2 linked regions of the Drosophila melanogaster genome follow. The protein of the gene in region 2 purifies or fractionates together with the protein of the main gene of each other region. This does not show direct contact. Each region holds a gene or a part of one and is shown on either strand. Other genes may lie near its edges. The genes, in order: dgrn and E(spl)mbeta-HLH.

Evidence for each region.
Region 1: the proteins of E(spl)mbeta-HLH (region 2) and dgrn purify together in Drosophila melanogaster (affinity purification with western blotting, with the first as the bait; one study listed by BioGRID). This does not show direct contact.

Annotation. Positions count from the first base shown.
Region 1 is NT_033777.3:5,822,942-5,827,250, reverse strand, and holds dgrn (degringolade), read right to left. Parts: upstream 2,637-4,309; 5' UTR 2,303-2,636; coding exon 2,276-2,302; intron 2,219-2,275; exon of another isoform or gene 2,216-2,218; coding exon 1,807-2,215; intron 1,753-1,806; coding exon 1,663-1,752; intron 1,447-1,662; coding exon 1,013-1,446; 3' UTR 675-1,012; downstream 1-674. Other genes in the region: Sec20 (secretory 20), read left to right, coding at 2,810-2,890, 2,944-3,546.
Region 2 is NT_033777.3:26,004,471-26,008,232, forward strand, and holds E(spl)mbeta-HLH (enhancer of split mbeta, helix-loop-helix), read right to left. Parts: upstream 1,554-3,762; 5' UTR 1,424-1,553; coding exon 836-1,423; 3' UTR 576-835; downstream 1-575.

The sequences.
Region 1 (4,309 bases), about 20 Mb from region 2:
TAATCAAAGCCATACTTGCTCCAACGTGGAGTTATGCCATCCAGGTGTGGGGAACTGCCGCCAAATCCCAGCTCAATAGGCTCCGTGTCGTCTAGTCGAGAGCTGCACGTCGTGCTTTTGGGCTCCCCTGGTACGTGACAAACAAGGTAATCGAAAGAGATCTGAAAGTTACCCCTCTTGGGGATCAGATTAATTTTCACAGCAGCCGTTATGCCGACAGGCTTATGGTCCACCCGAACCGACTAGCAAATAGCCTATCTAATCCCATCTCCCTCCGAAGGCTGAAGAGGGTACACCCCACCGATCTCCCTACACCCTTACACAATAAGTAATTAATAACTAGATACATTTTCCCTTTTGTACTTAATAATTAAGAAACCACTTGGTCTAATATACCTTTATACACACATAAGGTTAAGTTCAGAGGAATTGACCGAACGATTCCTTTTGGAACCAAAATAAATAGAATGAAGTTTAAAAAAAAAAAAATATATTGTTATATATATACAAAATTGGAGGGAAAAAGTCTCTTTAAAGACACTTCATGTTCCACCTGTTTCCAATTTATCCTGTTTTATCGACCCTTTAATGATCTCAGAATTCCATGTCTGACTTCTGTCTCAAAAAATAGTAGCCAACAATAAAAAATGAGATTGAGACAAACCTGTTGATATGCGTTGGGACCATTTTATTTATTATATTATATGTATGTTACATTGTTAAATTGCGTTTGGAAAAATGCCTACATAATACTTTGACACTCCTTTCGGTCGTTCTTATATTATTCTAGCCTGAGATGGTTTCATACATCAAAAGTGAAGTCTTTAGTTTTTATAGTTGTATTCAAATATTTTTGGGCGCCACTGATTACATAGGACAACTTAAATAACTAATTTTTTCTGAATCACAAGAACAGACATTATTTGCCGTCTCTAACATAGTTAAGCGTTTTTTTTTAAACTATATTATATTAAGGCTCACAGAGCAAAAAATGTGAAATAGTATAAGCAACTTACAAGTAAATGCGAAAGAATTGACGTGCGGTCAGCTTCTTGTTGCATATTGGGCACTTGTGCGTAGCTCTGATGGCTGTTTCGATGCATTCGCGGCAGAAGACGTGTCCACATTTGGTTGACACTGGCTCGCGCTTCGATACACTGTCCATGCAGATGGGGCACTTGTATAACTCCTCTTTTTGGGACTCATCAATGTCGCGATTAACGCGTTTTGGTGGCGACGCAACGTCGAGATCCACTACCGGGTCATTTTCGGCTGACCGACGTGGCAGAATGGTGAGGGAGTCGTTGGAGTGAAGATTCACTGTGCGACTTCTTGGGCCTTCGGGGGTGCATAGATCGATGAAAGCATCGGGATCACGATTCCGAGCGGATCGAACAGGTGGTGCACGGTCCAAATGGGACAGATCTATCACTTCTACTGGACTCGCTACGGAAAAAGTAAGAAACGGTATTCGGTTTATTGCTAGCTCTATCCGCGAAAGCTATCTGGTTTTCACAAAATTTTAAAAAATATAGATAAATTTTGCCTTCAAAAGTAAGTAACCCGGCAGGGTTATAGAAAGAACTATGTCATTGGTTATTGTGGAATTAAAAACATTGTTCATTGTGAAACCCAGATGCGTTCATTTTGATCTGCACTTACTTCTGCGGCGAATTCTACGAGTTGTTGGCGTTGAGGTTCTCGTGGCGAAGGTGTCAATCTGTGCCACAACTTCCTCGCAGTAGCGATTCACTGAAATATGAAACAATTAACAGAAAACTTCGTAATGATTATGGAGTGACATACTGCGATCCAACTCTGCTTCCATCTGGATCACATCCTGGGTAAGTGATCTGATCTGCGAATGAGCATCTTCAGTCGAGACAGACAAGTTAGCCATATTTAAGGGGTTATTGCTTTGCGGTGACTGCAGTTGGTTTGAAGCTTCTCCGACTGAAGATTCGCTGGTATTGGTGGCTGAAGATGAGTCTGATTCCACAGATAAATCACGCTCCACTGGGGATGGGCGTTCCAAGGACGAATGGGAATCAGCGGATGAATCAGATTCCGCGGATGACTGAGATTCCACGGATGTATTGTGTCCCGAATTGGATTCTATGGATGAATGGGAGTCCACAGAAGAGTCGGATACACTGGAATTGGAGCTCGAACTGGATACGTTGCTGTCCGCTGACTGATCAAGAATGGATGAGTTCTACTAAATAAATCAATCATAAATCGGAATTAACTAGTTTAAAGTCCAGGGTATACTTACAAAACGGAAAATAGTCGAATCTGACATTGTTCGAGCAACAAATGACCAGGAAACTTGTGAAATGATTTCGTAGTAAAGACAAAAGCAGGTGAACCCAGATATACATGTGCTTTAGTGCAGATTGAAATGTGCAAAATAGTTTCCTCCTTTCACGCGACCATTCGGTTATTTTAAAGATGACACTTTACGGACATTCGGGAACAAGGATTTAAGATCGACTATCGATTTTTGCGGTATTATACAATGCTGTTTAGAATGACACTTGTAATTCAATAAAAATCAATAATTTATTAAAAATAAAATTTCCGTTTCGGCGAAATTCTTTGATAACAAAATAATTATAAGAAATGTATATAAATATGTCGACATTACAAAACCATACCATCACTATGTAAACGATATTTTTTAGGCGATTAAATGCCATCGATATATACCGTGCCGTGGTAGTGTTAGAAAATTGCGGGAATTAACGTTAAATGCACGTCACCAAAGCAGAATAATAGAATATTTTCGAAACAAAACAAAGTTGGAGACATGGACAAGGATGCGTTTACATTACAGGCCATACGGCAGGACCTTATCGATAACAATCTGCAGGCTAAGGCAATAATACACGTAAGTCTCCGCTATCTGAAGAGAAACCCTCATTACCGAGCTTCTGTTTTTAGGACATCCTGAACAGCCGCACCTCCATCGCCGAACTCGAGGAGCTGAACGAAGCGGGCCGCTCCAAACTGTCTGCTATCCGCAAAAGCATCGAGCGGCTGGACGACTGGGCGCGGGACACGGCAGACTCTGCGCTGGCCAATGAAGTGGACGACCACCGTGATCAGTTCTCCAAAACGCTGCAGGCGTTCCGAAAAGCAAACGTGTCCACGATGCTGGAGATCGAGAAGGCCAATCGGGAGGAGTTAATGGCCATTACCGGCGAGAGTGAGCTACGCCAACGAACCACAACACGGGCGCGGCACAACCAGGGCAGTCTGGTTTCGCAGGAGAACGACGTGACCGAGAAGATGCTGGCTATATCGCGGCACCTCTCGGAGACCACCCAGAAGAGCGCCATCACCCTGGAAACGCTCGTGGCCTCGTCGCAAAATGTGGAGGCCACCAGCGACGAACTGCACCACACGGCCGGCAGCATTAGCATGTCCGGCAAGCTGCTCAAAAAGTACGGACGACGCGAGTGCACTGACAAAATGCTGCTCTTCTTCGCCTTCTCCTTGTTCCTCGCCTGTGTCTTTTACATCGTCCAAAAGCGACTCTTCTAAGACTCCACAAATGGACAAAACCCGTTCCCAAAATAGCTTAAGGTTGTCGCTTCTGTTGTCTAGGTATAGCTAGATTAAGCTTAGCACATGACCATACCTTGTAAGCACAGCTCCTATATTTATATTATTTAGTGATTTGCCTAAGTTGTAAACGTGGTACAGCCAAAGACCCTAGAATAACAAGATGCGTAACGCCATACGATTTTTTGGCACACGATTTTTTGGCCGTGGCTCTAGAGGTGGCTCCAGGCTCTCTCGAATTTTTGTTAGAGAGCGAGAGAGCGAAGAGCGCTACAGCGAACAGCTCTTTTCAACGCACAAAGTGATAGCAGACATCTGTATGTGTGCACACGTATTCACATGCATTGTAAATTTGACAAAATATGCCCTTCACCTTAGAAGTTCTTTGGCTTTAAATCTATATTATTTTTTATCAATTGGCACCATGCGAAAAATTCTTGTTTTGCATTGCCTTAACGTTATTATTATTTGAAAATAGATTAGAAATAGTCAAATCTATGTACATATTATCACAAAAATAAATTTCAAAAATGAATTTATATAAGAATATTTGTCATTAGAGTATTCATCTTGCGGCGTGTGAAAAATTAATAAGGCAATGATTGTTGAGTGCTTGTGTCCGCACTTCGTGCCTCAAGATATGAACAAAGCAAAGACACTAGAATAATTCTATTGTCTTTGATATTACTTTTGCAATTTAATTTAATTGCATATTTAATTATTTAGTATATTTATTAAATCA
Region 2 (3,762 bases):
GCTTAATTTGCAATGTCTGACCGCCGGTCCGTCCGCGCATGTGCCAAGCGGTCAAGCGCAGTTAAAGCTGTCAAAGCCTGAACAAAAAAAAACTAAAAAAGAGCAAAATCTTAAAAAAAAAGCGAAACACAATGACCACAATGCTGAGCCATTGACAGCGGAGCCGCGGTTCTCACACTCGGCGGGCCTCATAATAAATGCCGTTTCCTAGAACTGACTTTTTGCTTTATTTTATTATTTAATTGCGACAGCGCCGGCGCAAAACTTCCCGCAGATATACGTATGTATGTTGTATGCCCCCTGAAAGCCCCGCATACCCTCGCAATCCGAATTCTCGGGGCATAATGAGGCCAAGCCGGAGAGACCAGACGATAGTCCGAGTGTGGGAAAATATTCAGCGACTTCCGGCTGTGGGCTCTGCGATTCGGTTCACCACGGAGTTTATCTCCAATTCGTTTCTTGTTTTAAGGGGTTTCTTTTTTTTAGTTGCTTTAGTTTGCGGTTGGACGCCCACTAAATGTCTGGGAAGTCTGAGTAATCAGCTCTATGGGAAATAAGTAAATGCAGAGATTCTTGAGTTGGAATTTCATTTATTTTCATTTCTTTATGACTTTAAGAAGTGAGCAGCAGCCATCTCTATAGCCGAAATTTGAGGCTCTGCTAGAGATGATCGGTGGCTCTGCTGGGCTGCTGGGAAAGCTATTCCTGGGCAGCAATTGATGATCTCCAAGGAGTTCGGTGCGGTTTCAAGTCCAGCACCTCTTTGGGGCAACAAATTTGTAGAAGCCTTCCGCTTGAAGGCGATTCAGGTGAATATCATCCGGAGTCCAGTTGATCACCAGGGACGCCACATGGGGCCAGAGGTGGAGCTGGCCTCGCTGGGCGCCGGGCTGCAGGCTCCGCTCTCCAAGCTGTCGCATTCCGAGGGAGGTGGAGTGACCATAGCTTGATCCTCTACTGGAGCTTGAAGAGGCACTCCAATGGGCAGCGAGGGAACCACCACTTGCAGGTAGTTGAGACGATGGCCAAGGTGACTCATCAGCTGGGTGCCGAGATCCACACTCACTCCGGGTACAGCGGCCAAGGTTTTGGACACTTCATTGGCAGCATGAACGTAGCCAGCACGGAAACTCTCAGCGATGCTAAGCTTGGGATCGGCACTCGGAGACACTCCACCGGTGACGCTGGACAGACGCAGCTGCTTCTGGGCACGCAGCTTCTTCATGTGCTCCACGGTCAGCTCCAGGATGTCGGCCTTCTCCAGCCGGGTGATGTGCTCGCCCTCCTGGGTCAGGCACTCCACCATGATGTCCTTGAGCTCGTCCAGGCACTTGTTAATCCTGGCACGGCGCTTACGCTCCAGCATGGGCTTCATCACCTTGCGGTACTGATAGGTCTTGGACATCTCCATTTCCAGAACCATTTTGTTGTAGTTTGGTTTTGTTTTTTTTTTATTGGGGGTAAAGTAAACTCGCGTAATCCACAGTCGCAACGTTCCACTAGATTCGGACTCGGAGACTCTGTGTGCACGCAACGAAGTCGGAGCTTTGAATGAGTCGGCTGGCTCTGGGATCGGCTTTATATAGCCTCTGCCGCCCTGGGAACTGGACAGTGAGTGCGAGCGGGACACTCATTTTGCCTCGTGCGCGGCCTGCTGCTGTTGCCAGCGGTGGTTTCAGATGGCTTGGTGGTGCTTGGTTGTGGTAGTGGTGGTGGTGGCTTCTGTTTTTTTGTATACTTTTGCCTGTATATGTGAGGGCAATAAAATGACTTGAGCGGGCTGCGCCTTCTCGCTCTCTCTCCCTCCCTCCTTATGTATGTGCTGTGATTGTTATACCGTGGGAAACTGTTTCGCAGCCGATTTCCACGACGACGACGATGACGACGGCTGGCCTGACTTCTTCTGATTGTGCATGCTTGGGGTCTTGTACGATCCCTCGTCCCTCGTCTTTCCGTCCACCGTCTTTCTTGAGCGGACGGACGGATGGACGGGCCGCCTTTAAGAGGTCTGTGCGACTTGGGATCCCAGATACGATGCGAGGCGAGCACATGCCTTCCATCCATAACAAGATGTTTGCATTTCAATTCATTTGTATGGTCGACTATGGTCGGGGTCCGGTCTTTTGGGCTTCAATTCGGTGCGGTTGGGTTCGGTTCGGTTCGGTCTCAAGTCTTGCCATGTGCCTTCACCCTTTTGCAGTAGCTTATGGCACGCTGATAATTGTGGAATCGTCATCGGGCCAACCCGAGACGGGCCAGTGTTTCTGTTTCTTGCTTTTTTGTTAGCGCTTTATGGATCATTGATTGGATCGTGGTAGTCGTGGGTTTCGTGGGACGAGCATTACGCTTTTCGTTTACATGATTATTCTTGATTGTCGGTTGGGGATCGTTTGGGGATCAGCTGCAGTTCGGTTGGGGGTTTTGGGTTCGCTTGGGGATCTTGGGTCGTCGCTCGCTTCTATTTGTAGACAATTACCATAGCGACTTCGGGCTGGGAACCGATCGAAGTCGACGTGTGCGCGAAAGTCGGTTACAATCGTAATGGCTGTTGCCAGCACACGCTATAAATGTTATGGCTCGTGGGCTATACGCGATATATGTATATGTATGTATACACATTTAGCACATTCGGTATTTATTTTTAACGCTATATCGTCGTGATTCATCAGCTTGAGATGCTAGATCTCCATCCGCCGGCATCTGACACATCTCGGATCCTAAGCTCGGGTTTCTCAACATTTAATTAGAAGTGCCGGCGACGATGACGCTCGCTGGCGTTCATTGAAAATGACACGAGCCCGGCTCATTGGCACACAAATAAGGAATAACAAAAGCTCCGAGACGGCAGCTACTCGATCACTATGTGTATATAAATTCAAACTCAAATAAGACAAATTAAGATTGCCCCTCGACGCATTCGAAATGAGCTACAGTTAGCCGAAACAAAGCAGCAACGGTGATAAACGGGCCAAGACACAAACGGCTAACAACTTATCTAACCGAAACGTTTTGTCCGCTGGACCGGGACACTTAAACTGTTGATGTCAAAAAGCTGAATGCTCCGGAAATGCTTAATTGGATTTTATGGGTCGGCAGTGTGTCAAACTGTTCGTCAGAGGGTGGTGGTTGCATTTTTGGGGTGAGTTAGTCGCATGATATTTGCAACAACCAATTAAGAAGTAATTCATATTGGATTATTAAAGAAACAATACTATAAAAAATATGGAAAAAATATTTCAAAAATTTAAAGATTTTTAAAAACAATTTAGCTACAATTGTAGATAACACGTTAAATTAAGAAATATTTTGTAATAACAATATAATCCATTTATATAATCCATTCATTCAACTAGCTTAAATTAAAAGCTAAATAGTATAGGGGCTCCAATTGTAATTCGGAAGTTCCAATTTTCATGTAGTAGCTATAAATGCCTTTAAACGCCACTGAAAGACTTTTCTAGCTTAACAACTGAATCACTGTCGTAACTCGAATCATTAATACCAATTGTAGCAATTAGAGGAAACCCAGTGGACGAGCACGTGCCCCCAATAGAATTCATCGAGTGTGCCCCTATAGCTTGAAATGCAGAAACCTAATCTGCTGCCCATTCCGAAAATATAATATGGAATAATAAGGTAGTTATTTCACAAATTTCATCAGATTCTGCAATGCTCGTTGGGGTGTAGCGCATATGGTCAAGTCGCTTAAGACCAACTGGCCTTTATACACCCAATCATCCAAAGATACAGCTACACATACAA